Linked DNA regions of Arabidopsis thaliana. The protein of the gene in region 2 binds, or shares a complex with, the protein of the main gene of each other region. Each region holds a gene or a part of one and is shown on either strand. Other genes may lie near its edges. The genes, in order: ATL5 and AT3G58700.

Region 1 (4,989 bases), about 12 Mb from region 2:
AATTTTTTTAAAAGGGTTAAGAAGCCTATTGCAGCTGCAAGAGTACCAAGGAAAAAAGAAGAATTCATTAGTAAGGTGAAAAAAGGATCTAAGACTAAGCATACATGGTAGAGGAAGGATTAACAAAGAGACGTTGTGTATATTGAATACAGATCGTTGACTCTGTTGGTAGAGAAAGAGAAGCTTCATGGCTGTTACCTTTCACCATAAAAATTTATGGAAAATTTTGCTAAGGACAAATCGTGGTCCCTTTCATGTAGGGCTCCACCATTCATGTAATTTACTTGGAATCCAAATAATACACATCATATTCTCGATTATATACTAAAGAAGTCACGAGAGAAATTAAATTACGTATTAGTCAGCTTCCAGGATAGTTCATACTTCATACTACAGAGCAGATAAGTCATTCCTACTTTGCATAAGACAGTTCCAGTACCCGATAAGGCTACATATAATAATAGCTCCAAGAGAATACTGAGTTATTTCCTTAAACAGTGATTTAGCTCTAAACTTGTAGTAATGTGATCTAGTTCATCTTGTAGCAATGTTTTCTAGTTCATATAGATGAAGTCTAACAGTTCTTACATTTAACAATAGCAAACTACAGATAAAATCAAGTCATCAAACTATTGTCATACAAATTCTTGAAAATTATGATGAAGGTAATAATAAGATAATGATACTTCAAAGAAAATGTATCCTCAATATCAAAATCCTCGAACACAATTAAAATGTGAACACAAAAGCTGAGTGTTTTAGTCTGAAAACAGAAAATTTGAGGCATTAAGCTCAAAAGATAAAAAACTACAAGAGGCATGAGATAAAGAAGGCTTGACTGATTTACTCTTCATCGTCCTCATCATCATCATCACCACCTGCTCCATTCAATGCCTTGACTCTCTCGATCAACTTGTTCTTCCTCTCCTCGTAAGTAAGTTTCTTCAAGTTGTACCTGTTTTGTTAAATGGAAGACCAAATGAGACACCAATACACCAACAAGACAAGAATATAGATAGACTAGATTGATTCTGTTTCCCTACCTCTTGTGTTGCTTGGGAGCAGGTTTCACGGTTTTCTTTGGGTTGGGGTCAGCACGAATAGCTGCGTGAACCTTCTTGTACAACTCCTCAATGCTCTCAGCTTCAACTCCTTTCTTGATGTAAGCACTGAAGTGAGTTTGTAACTTCTCTGGCTCATCTTCTCCCAACAGCTTCATGTAGTTTGAGACATGGCCACCATAGATGTAGTTCCTGTGGATTTCAGCATCAAGTTGCTTGTTCTCCTTGTGGAACCCAGCAAATCTCTTGTCACTGTGAGGGATATCAAGACCACCATCCAAAGCACCCTACAGATTCAAACAGCGAACCAAAAGGATATTAAAGAATTGCCAGTATAAGCATTTGCTCAAGAAGAATGACAAATAAGAGCACTCACAACAAAAAAAGAGAAACAAGTTAATACCTTAAGAGCACCGAACACACGGTTTCCTGTTGTGGTCCTGATAAGTCCAACATCAAGAAGAGCACGGAAAGGTCTCCTTGAATCAGTTGGCTCAACGGAAAAGTCTTCTCCAGTGGCCTGATTCATTGTGTGACTTGAGTTTCTAACAAGAGACAATAACAATGCTTCTTATTATCAAGATGAAACCAATCACACAACATACCTCAACGTTTCCCTCATACTCGTCATCCATTTCCAACATCTTTAAAACACGGCGAGCCAAAAGAAGGCCAGTACAGTAAGCTAGTTCAACAAAAAAAAATTACACATAAGTAAGCCATAAAGACAGAATCAACCATATTAAATTGGAAAACAATACCAGATGACACATTCAATACCTGCAGCATAGTTTGTAAGACCAACAGTGAGACCATACTGAGGCAGTTCATGTGCGTAAGCAGAAGCTTTAACAATGTCACCAGCAATGCTTGCAGATACAATCTGTGCCACTATGTCTTTGTTGGTAAACCGGACAACAAAACGATACTTAGGAGTATTGTACTTGTTCTTGTCTTGGTTGATAAGACGGATCCTTGCCCTGTAGTCAGTCTTTCCATCTACACAAAAATAAAATAATTTTCAGAAACAGATTGAAACAAAGAGAGAACAAACAATATCATCAGAATAAAACGAATCAACAATCTATTACCTCTTCTTCTCCTGAACTTCACTTGGTACCTCTTGAAGTAAGCATTCGACTTGGTGGACTTCACAAACACCTACCAACAACAAATCATCTTATTTTATTAGTCTAAGATCCAACAATATAAAGGTTCTTCGATGGTAACAAAGATCTACGGTAAGAACTCCATTGAATACGTATCAGTGACCTCTAAAACAGAACAAAAGCAAAGTCTCAAACTTTTCCTATTTCAATTCTCAAGCAAGTTATAAAACCAAAAACCCATGAAGAAAAACATCTACGAAGGTGGATAGAACCATAGGATCACGAATTCTCGTTACGATATCTAATCAAAAGCAATGCAGGAGATTTCTATATGAAATGAAGATCAAAACCCGATTTTCTTAAGAGAAGATTAAGAAGAAACGATTGAGAAATGAGAAGAGATAGAGATTAAAGCTAGGGTTTACCATTGTTTGATTCCTCTAGCAACGAGAGGCTTTGCTGTGAGATTGTGAGTGAAGAGAAGCAAGAGGCGGAATGACCTAAATGCGACATCTTATAAGACAAAACCCTAGAAAACTCCTCGTGGGCTGAAAAATGTTAATGGGCTTTACTAGTTATATTATTAATGGGCCTATGGGCTTTTACATTCACACTCCAACGAAATCCAATTTTCTACTGAAATGGTCTCCTCCTCTCCTCGTTTGTCTATAATCCATAGGAACATTTCTCTTGACCATCTTGATGCAATGTTATTTCTTTGATCTTCTCATCTACGGGTTCTTTTTTGCTTCCTTTGTTTCATATAACCTTAACAGTGACCAACTTCAAATAAACTTTGCTCTATTTTATTGGTTCTGTTTCAATCAATTTGATCTACCTCTGGACCAATATCGAGTGAACTAGCCATAAAGTAGTTGAAACGTAAGGTTGCAACTCTATGAACGTTTCTGGATATGTGGTTAAGACTTTTTATTTGGTGAAGGAGTAAAATGTGTGTTTGGCCAAATGAGTAAATCTCTATTTGGGAAGATAACAATGATTTCAGTATCTCAGCCAATCCAAATGAGTGGATGTTTTGAAACAGTTTGCTATTCGCGGGAGAATTTCACAGCTTCAATCACAGCAGAGAAGTCGAGATCTCCTAGTCCCAAGCTTCTCGCCTTCTTAAAAGCCTGTCGAGAACCGAAACATATATTTTAAGATTCAAGCTAAGAAACCAATCTAGAGGAGGGAGAGCCAATATGTTATTGTCTCTGAGTAACTAACTAACTAACTGACCTCGTTTGCAGCCGCGGCTACAGGCATGGAAACCGCGTTTTCATCGCCAAGAGCAAGAGCTAGCCTCATGTCTTTCTGCTGATGTTTCAATGGAAATGCTGGTGGGTAACTACTCTTGTTCATTGAAGGTCCTTTCCCCTTGAACATCGGGTTAGTCATTGCTCCCAGATCCTGCCCATAGCAGAAACCGATTCAAACCAACACCATTATTTCAGAGCTTGCAAAAGTTTGATCACCTCACCAGAATATCCAAAAGAGTGTCAGAGCTAAGTCCACTCTTGTCAGCCAATACAAGCCCCTCAGAGAATGCATTCATCATGCTGTATCAGACGAAAAACAATAAGATCATGAAGCCATGTTCCATTCCTACTACTAATGGTAGTAATTGTAAAAGAGACGGGACATTCACCTTCCCATTATCATGTTCACTATTAGCTTCATTTTAGCTCCGTTTCCAACTTGTCCCAAGTAAAACGATCTCTTCCCCAAGACATCAAAAGCTGGGATTGATTCCTCAAAGAGTGCCTTACAAAAAAGGATTAAAACACAAACGGATTATAGCCGCACATCGAGAGCTCCTTCCTACTAAGTCCAACTAAAACAGTTCTTGAGATCTATCAATCAATCCATAAGTACAGTTTTGAGTTGTACCTTGTCACCAGCAGCAAGGATAATGAGTTGGCCATCTTCAGCTGGCTTTTTGCTACCTGAAACCGGACCTTCTACGAACCGACCACCCTTCCCGGTGATTGCCTACCAATGCGCAACACAGCTCAATCAAACTAATCAACCTTCTTCTAATCTTATCATCAGCATCTAAAGTACAAAAGATTCAACCTCATTGATCTTCAAAGAAGTCTCTGCATCAACAGTCGACATATCGATATAACCTTTTCCTTCACATATCTGCTCCAAAACACCGCCTTTATCGAAAACAACCTAATCAAACAACTACTTCATATCATTCATCACCAATGCTAAAACACACACAAAAGAAGCAAAAAAGGATTTCAAATACCGAAAGAGCAGCACAAGGATCAGAGAGCATAGCAATAGTGTATTTGCATTTCTTGATTACTTCAGCTGGACTCTCACATACTGATGCACCATGCTCCACAAGCTCATCACACTGTCACAATCATCAAAAATTCCCAAAATTGCATTAAATTACTCAAAAAGTTTCCGACTTTATCAGATCTGAACAACTAAAACTAAATCAGAAAACCATAATACCAAAACACAATCAAAGACAAAAAAAAAAAAAAAATTACCTTGGAGAGTGTTCTGTTCCATACAGTGACTTTGAATCCATTCTTCAATAGATTCATTGACATGGCTTTTCCCATGATTCCCAAACCCAGAAACCCTACTTCCATTTTATCTATCTTCTGCGATTATAGTGCTTACTTACTGCTTAGTGATGATGGTCTGAGAATGATAAAGCCGGAGCCTTTTCTAATCAGAGAACCATTATCATCAAATACACTTACTTTGAAAAGGAAGTATTTACAGTTTACTCCCTACAGTTTGATTCTGTTTGCATCTCTAACTGCCAGTTATGAACGAACAGGATTTCGCCA
Region 2 (4,252 bases):
CTTCATTTCTCCTTCTTATCTTTTTACCTGTATTTCTTGTTCTTACGCCGGATGCTGAAATTTGGTTCTAATTAAGGAATAATTTTGGAAGATAATTGTTCAATTAGGGTTCGATTTATGTTCTGGGTATTGAATCTGTTATTGTTTTACCTGTCGATTTTTAGGGTTTGATTGTGAGGAAAAAGGCGATTGTCAGAAAGTACAAGATGTTACTGAAAATGGGTTGCAAATTTTCACCTTTAAGCAATTGCATTCAGCAACTGGTGGATTTAGCAAGTCTAATGTGGTTGGGAATGGTGGGTTTGGCTTGGTTTATCGTGGTGTGCTTAACGATGGCAGAAAAGTTGCTATCAAGCTCATGGATCATGCAGGAAAGCAAGGGGAAGAAGAATTCAAGATGGAGGTTTGATTATTTTTAGCTTACTCTTTGATCTTTATTTTTTCAAAGCTTATGCACATTTTGCTGTTTGCAGCGTTTTTGATTACTTGATTGATCAATTTTTTGTATCTGGTGCCAGGTTGAGTTACTGAGCCGTCTGCGTTCACCATACTTGTTGGCACTTCTTGGTTATTGCTCAGACAATAGTCATAAGCTGCTTGTGTATGAGTTCATGGCAAATGGTGGTCTGCAGGAACACCTGTATCTTCCCAACAGTAAGTTTCTTTTTCCAGTAGAGTTAGAAGTTGCTGCATGTTTGAAGTTGTCATCTGAAGACTCCAAATTTAGTCTATCTGTCTAGATGCTAACAATTTGAACATGAATCCTAGATAGTGTATAATAATTACGAATTGGTGAATATACGTCTGGAATTCTTGTTGGATTTGATAGAAAAATCTCTTTTTCTTGCATTTAGGGTCTGGTTCTGTCCCACCAAGATTAGATTGGGAAACTAGGATGAGAATAGCTGTGGAAGCTGCAAAAGGCTTGGAATATCTCCATGAACAAGTATCACCCCCGGTGATTCATAGAGACTTTAAGAGCAGCAATATTCTGCTGGACAGAAACTTCAATGCCAAAGTTTCAGATTTTGGATTGGCTAAAGTCGGATCAGATAAAGCTGGTGGACACGTTTCTACCCGTGTATTAGGCACACAAGGATATGTAGCTCCTGAGTATGTTTTTCACTCAATCATCTCTTTGTTCTTGTTTCCATCAGTTAACTTTGATAGGTTGGATACTAATACCAATATTTTCAATATCTTATGTCAGGTACGCTTTAACTGGTCACTTGACAACAAAGTCGGATGTCTATAGCTACGGTGTTGTCCTGTTAGAGTTACTAACCGGTAGAGTTCCAGTAGATATGAAGAGAGCTACAGGAGAAGGTGTTCTTGTCTCTTGGGTACGCGTTCCTTTCACAAACTGCTCTTGTGTCATTTCTTCTTGTCTTTGCTCTAATAACTTAACTTTTCCTATCTCCAGGCTTTGCCTCAATTGGCTGATAGAGACAAAGTAGTAGACATAATGGATCCAACACTCGAAGGACAATACTCTACGAAAGAAGTTGTTCAAGTTGCAGCAATAGCAGCAATGTGTGTTCAAGCAGAAGCTGACTACAGACCCTTAATGGCAGATGTGGTGCAGTCACTGGTTCCATTAGTGAGAAACCGTAGGTCAGCTTCAAAGCTTAGTGGCTGCTCTAGTAGCTTTAGCTTGGCTCGGTCTCCTAACTCTCCGGGTAAAGCAAGCATAGGTTCTCAATGAATAAATCAATCAGAGAAGACGAAATGTGAGGCTTTTATTATGTAACGGTATTTACTAAAACAGACAATGATGTAAACACTTGAGTGATCAAACATGGAGTCATAGAGATAATCATCAAATAAACTTTTTCGAATCTCTATGGGCTACTAGTTATTGGGCCAATCCTGACCCATTACTATATTCTACAGAGACGAGAATGATATTAGTTCATGAGAAAAAAGGTCACGTGAGGGAACGTGGGCTTGATGGAGAAAGGAGGGTACAATCGTCATTTTGAGTACTCGTAAAATTTGCTTAGAACCCTAGAAGGCTAATTAGAACTAGGGTTTATATAGTTTGCCGCTTCATCTCCGTTTCTTCTTTCCGATTCGTGTTTTCCCGTCGGCCGGAGATATATCGCAACCCTAATCCGAAATGGTCCGTCGCAGTTAACTCCTCTTCTTTGGTTTCACGTTTTTTGATGTTTCAAATAGAGATTTGATGATATATATTTTGGTTGAATTCAGGCGTCGGAGAAGAAGCTATCGAACCCAATGAGGGACATTAAAGTGCAGAAGCTGGTTCTCAACATCTCCGTTGGTGAGAGTGGAGATCGTCTCACCAGAGCCTCCAAGGTTTCACTTTTTTTTATCTGTTTTGTCTGGTTTTCATATCAACCCTGTGTGTATGCTCGATTTTAATGGAATTAGTTCTTCGATAACTTGGTAGGTGTTGGAACAATTGAGTGGTCAGACTCCTGTTTTCTCCAAGGGTAAGTTATTTTCTAAGTTGTATCAATTCATCGTTCGATCTCTGAGAAAATTTGCTGGAGATAGTTAGTGATCTCGACTAAAACAGGGGCACGATGCTTCTGAAGTTTAGGACGATGAGTTAGTTTTTTTGAAGGTCATTAGTTCTTACTTTTTGGTGTATGATTTTTAATTGTTACTGGCCTGGATCCATAGATAATCGTAGTGAGAATCAGTAGCTCTATCAATTGTTTTGTATCAATTGCTTGGAAGATGATTGTAACTTTGTTTTGGATGAAGAGAGTTTTGACATAAATCTTAACACTTGTTATCTCTTTTGCAGCTCGATACACTGTTCGTTCTTTTGGTATAAGACGTAATGAGAAGATTGCTTGCTATGTGACTGTCAGGGGAGAGAAGGCAATGCAGCTCCTTGAGAGTGGATTGAAAGTTAAAGAATACGAACTCTTGAGAAGGAACTTCAGCGACACTGGTTGCTTTGGTTTTGGTATTCAAGAGCACATTGATTTGGGTATCAAGTAAGTCTCATTCTTTCTAACACATACATAGAACAACTTTAGAGTGGCTTTTGTGTAACCAGTGATCAAACGTACGGGGTTTTTAAATATATATTTGATCTCAGGTATGATCCATCGACTGGAATCTACGGCATGGACTTCTATGTTGTTCTTGAGCGACCAGGTTACCGTGTTGCGCGCCGCAGAAGATGCAAGACTCGTGTTGGAATCCAGCATAGAGTGACGAAAGATGATGCCATGAAATGGTTCCAGGTGAAATATGAAGGAGTCATTCTCAACAAGTCTCAGAACATCACTGGTTAAACAAATGTGTCAAACAAATAGCTATCATCTGTTTTGTTTTTTTTGGGTTCAAATCGTATTTTCTCAGTTTTGTTTTGCTTCTCTGTTCTTCAGACATTTTGATTTTCCTTTATATATTTTGCGTATCTACTACTCCGACAAAAGCTGACTAAAGGTCTAAAACACATTTCCGAATTTTCGATACTCCGACAGGTAATGAACATTCTCTATATCTACATAACTCATCCCCAAACCGTAATTTTGTAAAATAACACTCTTAGTTCAACAATAATCGTTTGTGTTATGACTTATAATCGCATTCTGGTGTTATAGTTAATAACTGCGTTATAGTTTTTCATGAGGTAAAATGCATTTTTACATAAATTTTTAAACGAATCTTTGACTATGCGTCTATATGTTTAATATTTAGAAGACGTGTCAATTATATAATTACCCTGTGTACTTGTACATTATTTAACATAACAACAACTTCAAAAACATTATCCAATCATGTTTCATTGTCAATTCTCAGTTGCATCAGATTCGAGCGAATTATTGATTGGTTCGACATTAATTATCATGATCAGAAGTGACCAAATCAAACATATACATTACATACGTTTTGTGTGTGTAAACACGCGTTACATACATAAACTAATCAGAAAACCTATACAACCAGAAAATACAAGTTTTGGCTCCATTCTGACAGAAGAAGTTGGAGACAATAATGGAGTAATTAAACTAATAATTATGACACAGGCTTTTATAGTTTTATCTATTTATGATTTTACAATTTAATAAAGGACTGGAGGAATCTTGACTTGATCCCACACAGATTTATTATAAGCCATTTCCAGCCCAAATTTCTGTACACATTTATAAAATATTAAAAGTCATTTGTCTCTAGACCCATATATATTTTTTATTTTTTATTTTTACTTTTTATCTCAGATGAATTGCAGTTTTTATCTGGCCAAATTCATCCACAAAACGTCATC

Evidence for each region.
Region 1: AT3G58700 (region 2) and ATL5 share a complex: the UniProt entries of both Arabidopsis thaliana proteins name them as parts of the large ribosomal subunit.

What each region holds. Positions count from the first base shown.
Region 1 is NC_003074.8:9,268,730-9,273,718, forward strand, and holds ATL5 (ribosomal protein L5), read right to left. Parts: upstream 2,737-4,989; 5' UTR 2,599-2,736; coding exon 2,596-2,598; exon of another isoform or gene 2,446-2,595; coding exon of another isoform or gene 2,443-2,445; intron 2,223-2,442; coding exon 2,153-2,222; intron 2,061-2,152; coding exon 1,842-2,060; intron 1,747-1,841; coding exon 1,667-1,746; intron 1,582-1,666; coding exon 1,465-1,581; intron 1,349-1,464; coding exon 1,044-1,348; intron 956-1,043; coding exon 844-955; 3' UTR 548-843; downstream 1-547. Other genes in the region: GLYR1 (glyoxylate reductase 1), read right to left, coding at 3,220-3,303, 3,410-3,580, 3,651-3,729, 3,819-3,934, 4,061-4,162, 4,247-4,348, 4,428-4,538, 4,681-4,785. UniProt on the Arabidopsis thaliana protein: Component of the ribosome, a large ribonucleoprotein complex responsible for the synthesis of proteins in the cell.
Region 2 is NC_003074.8:21,709,542-21,713,793, forward strand, and holds AT3G58700 (Ribosomal L5P family protein), read left to right. Parts: upstream 1-1,903; 5' UTR 1,904-2,119; coding exon 2,120-2,122; intron 2,123-2,211; coding exon 2,212-2,319; intron 2,320-2,413; coding exon 2,414-2,456; intron 2,457-2,776; coding exon 2,777-2,972; intron 2,973-3,076; coding exon 3,077-3,275; 3' UTR 3,276-3,563; downstream 3,564-4,252. Other genes in the region: AT3G58690 (Protein kinase superfamily protein), read left to right, coding at 165-403, 519-654, 855-1,113, 1,211-1,343, 1,424-1,705. UniProt on the Arabidopsis thaliana protein: Component of the ribosome, a large ribonucleoprotein complex responsible for the synthesis of proteins in the cell.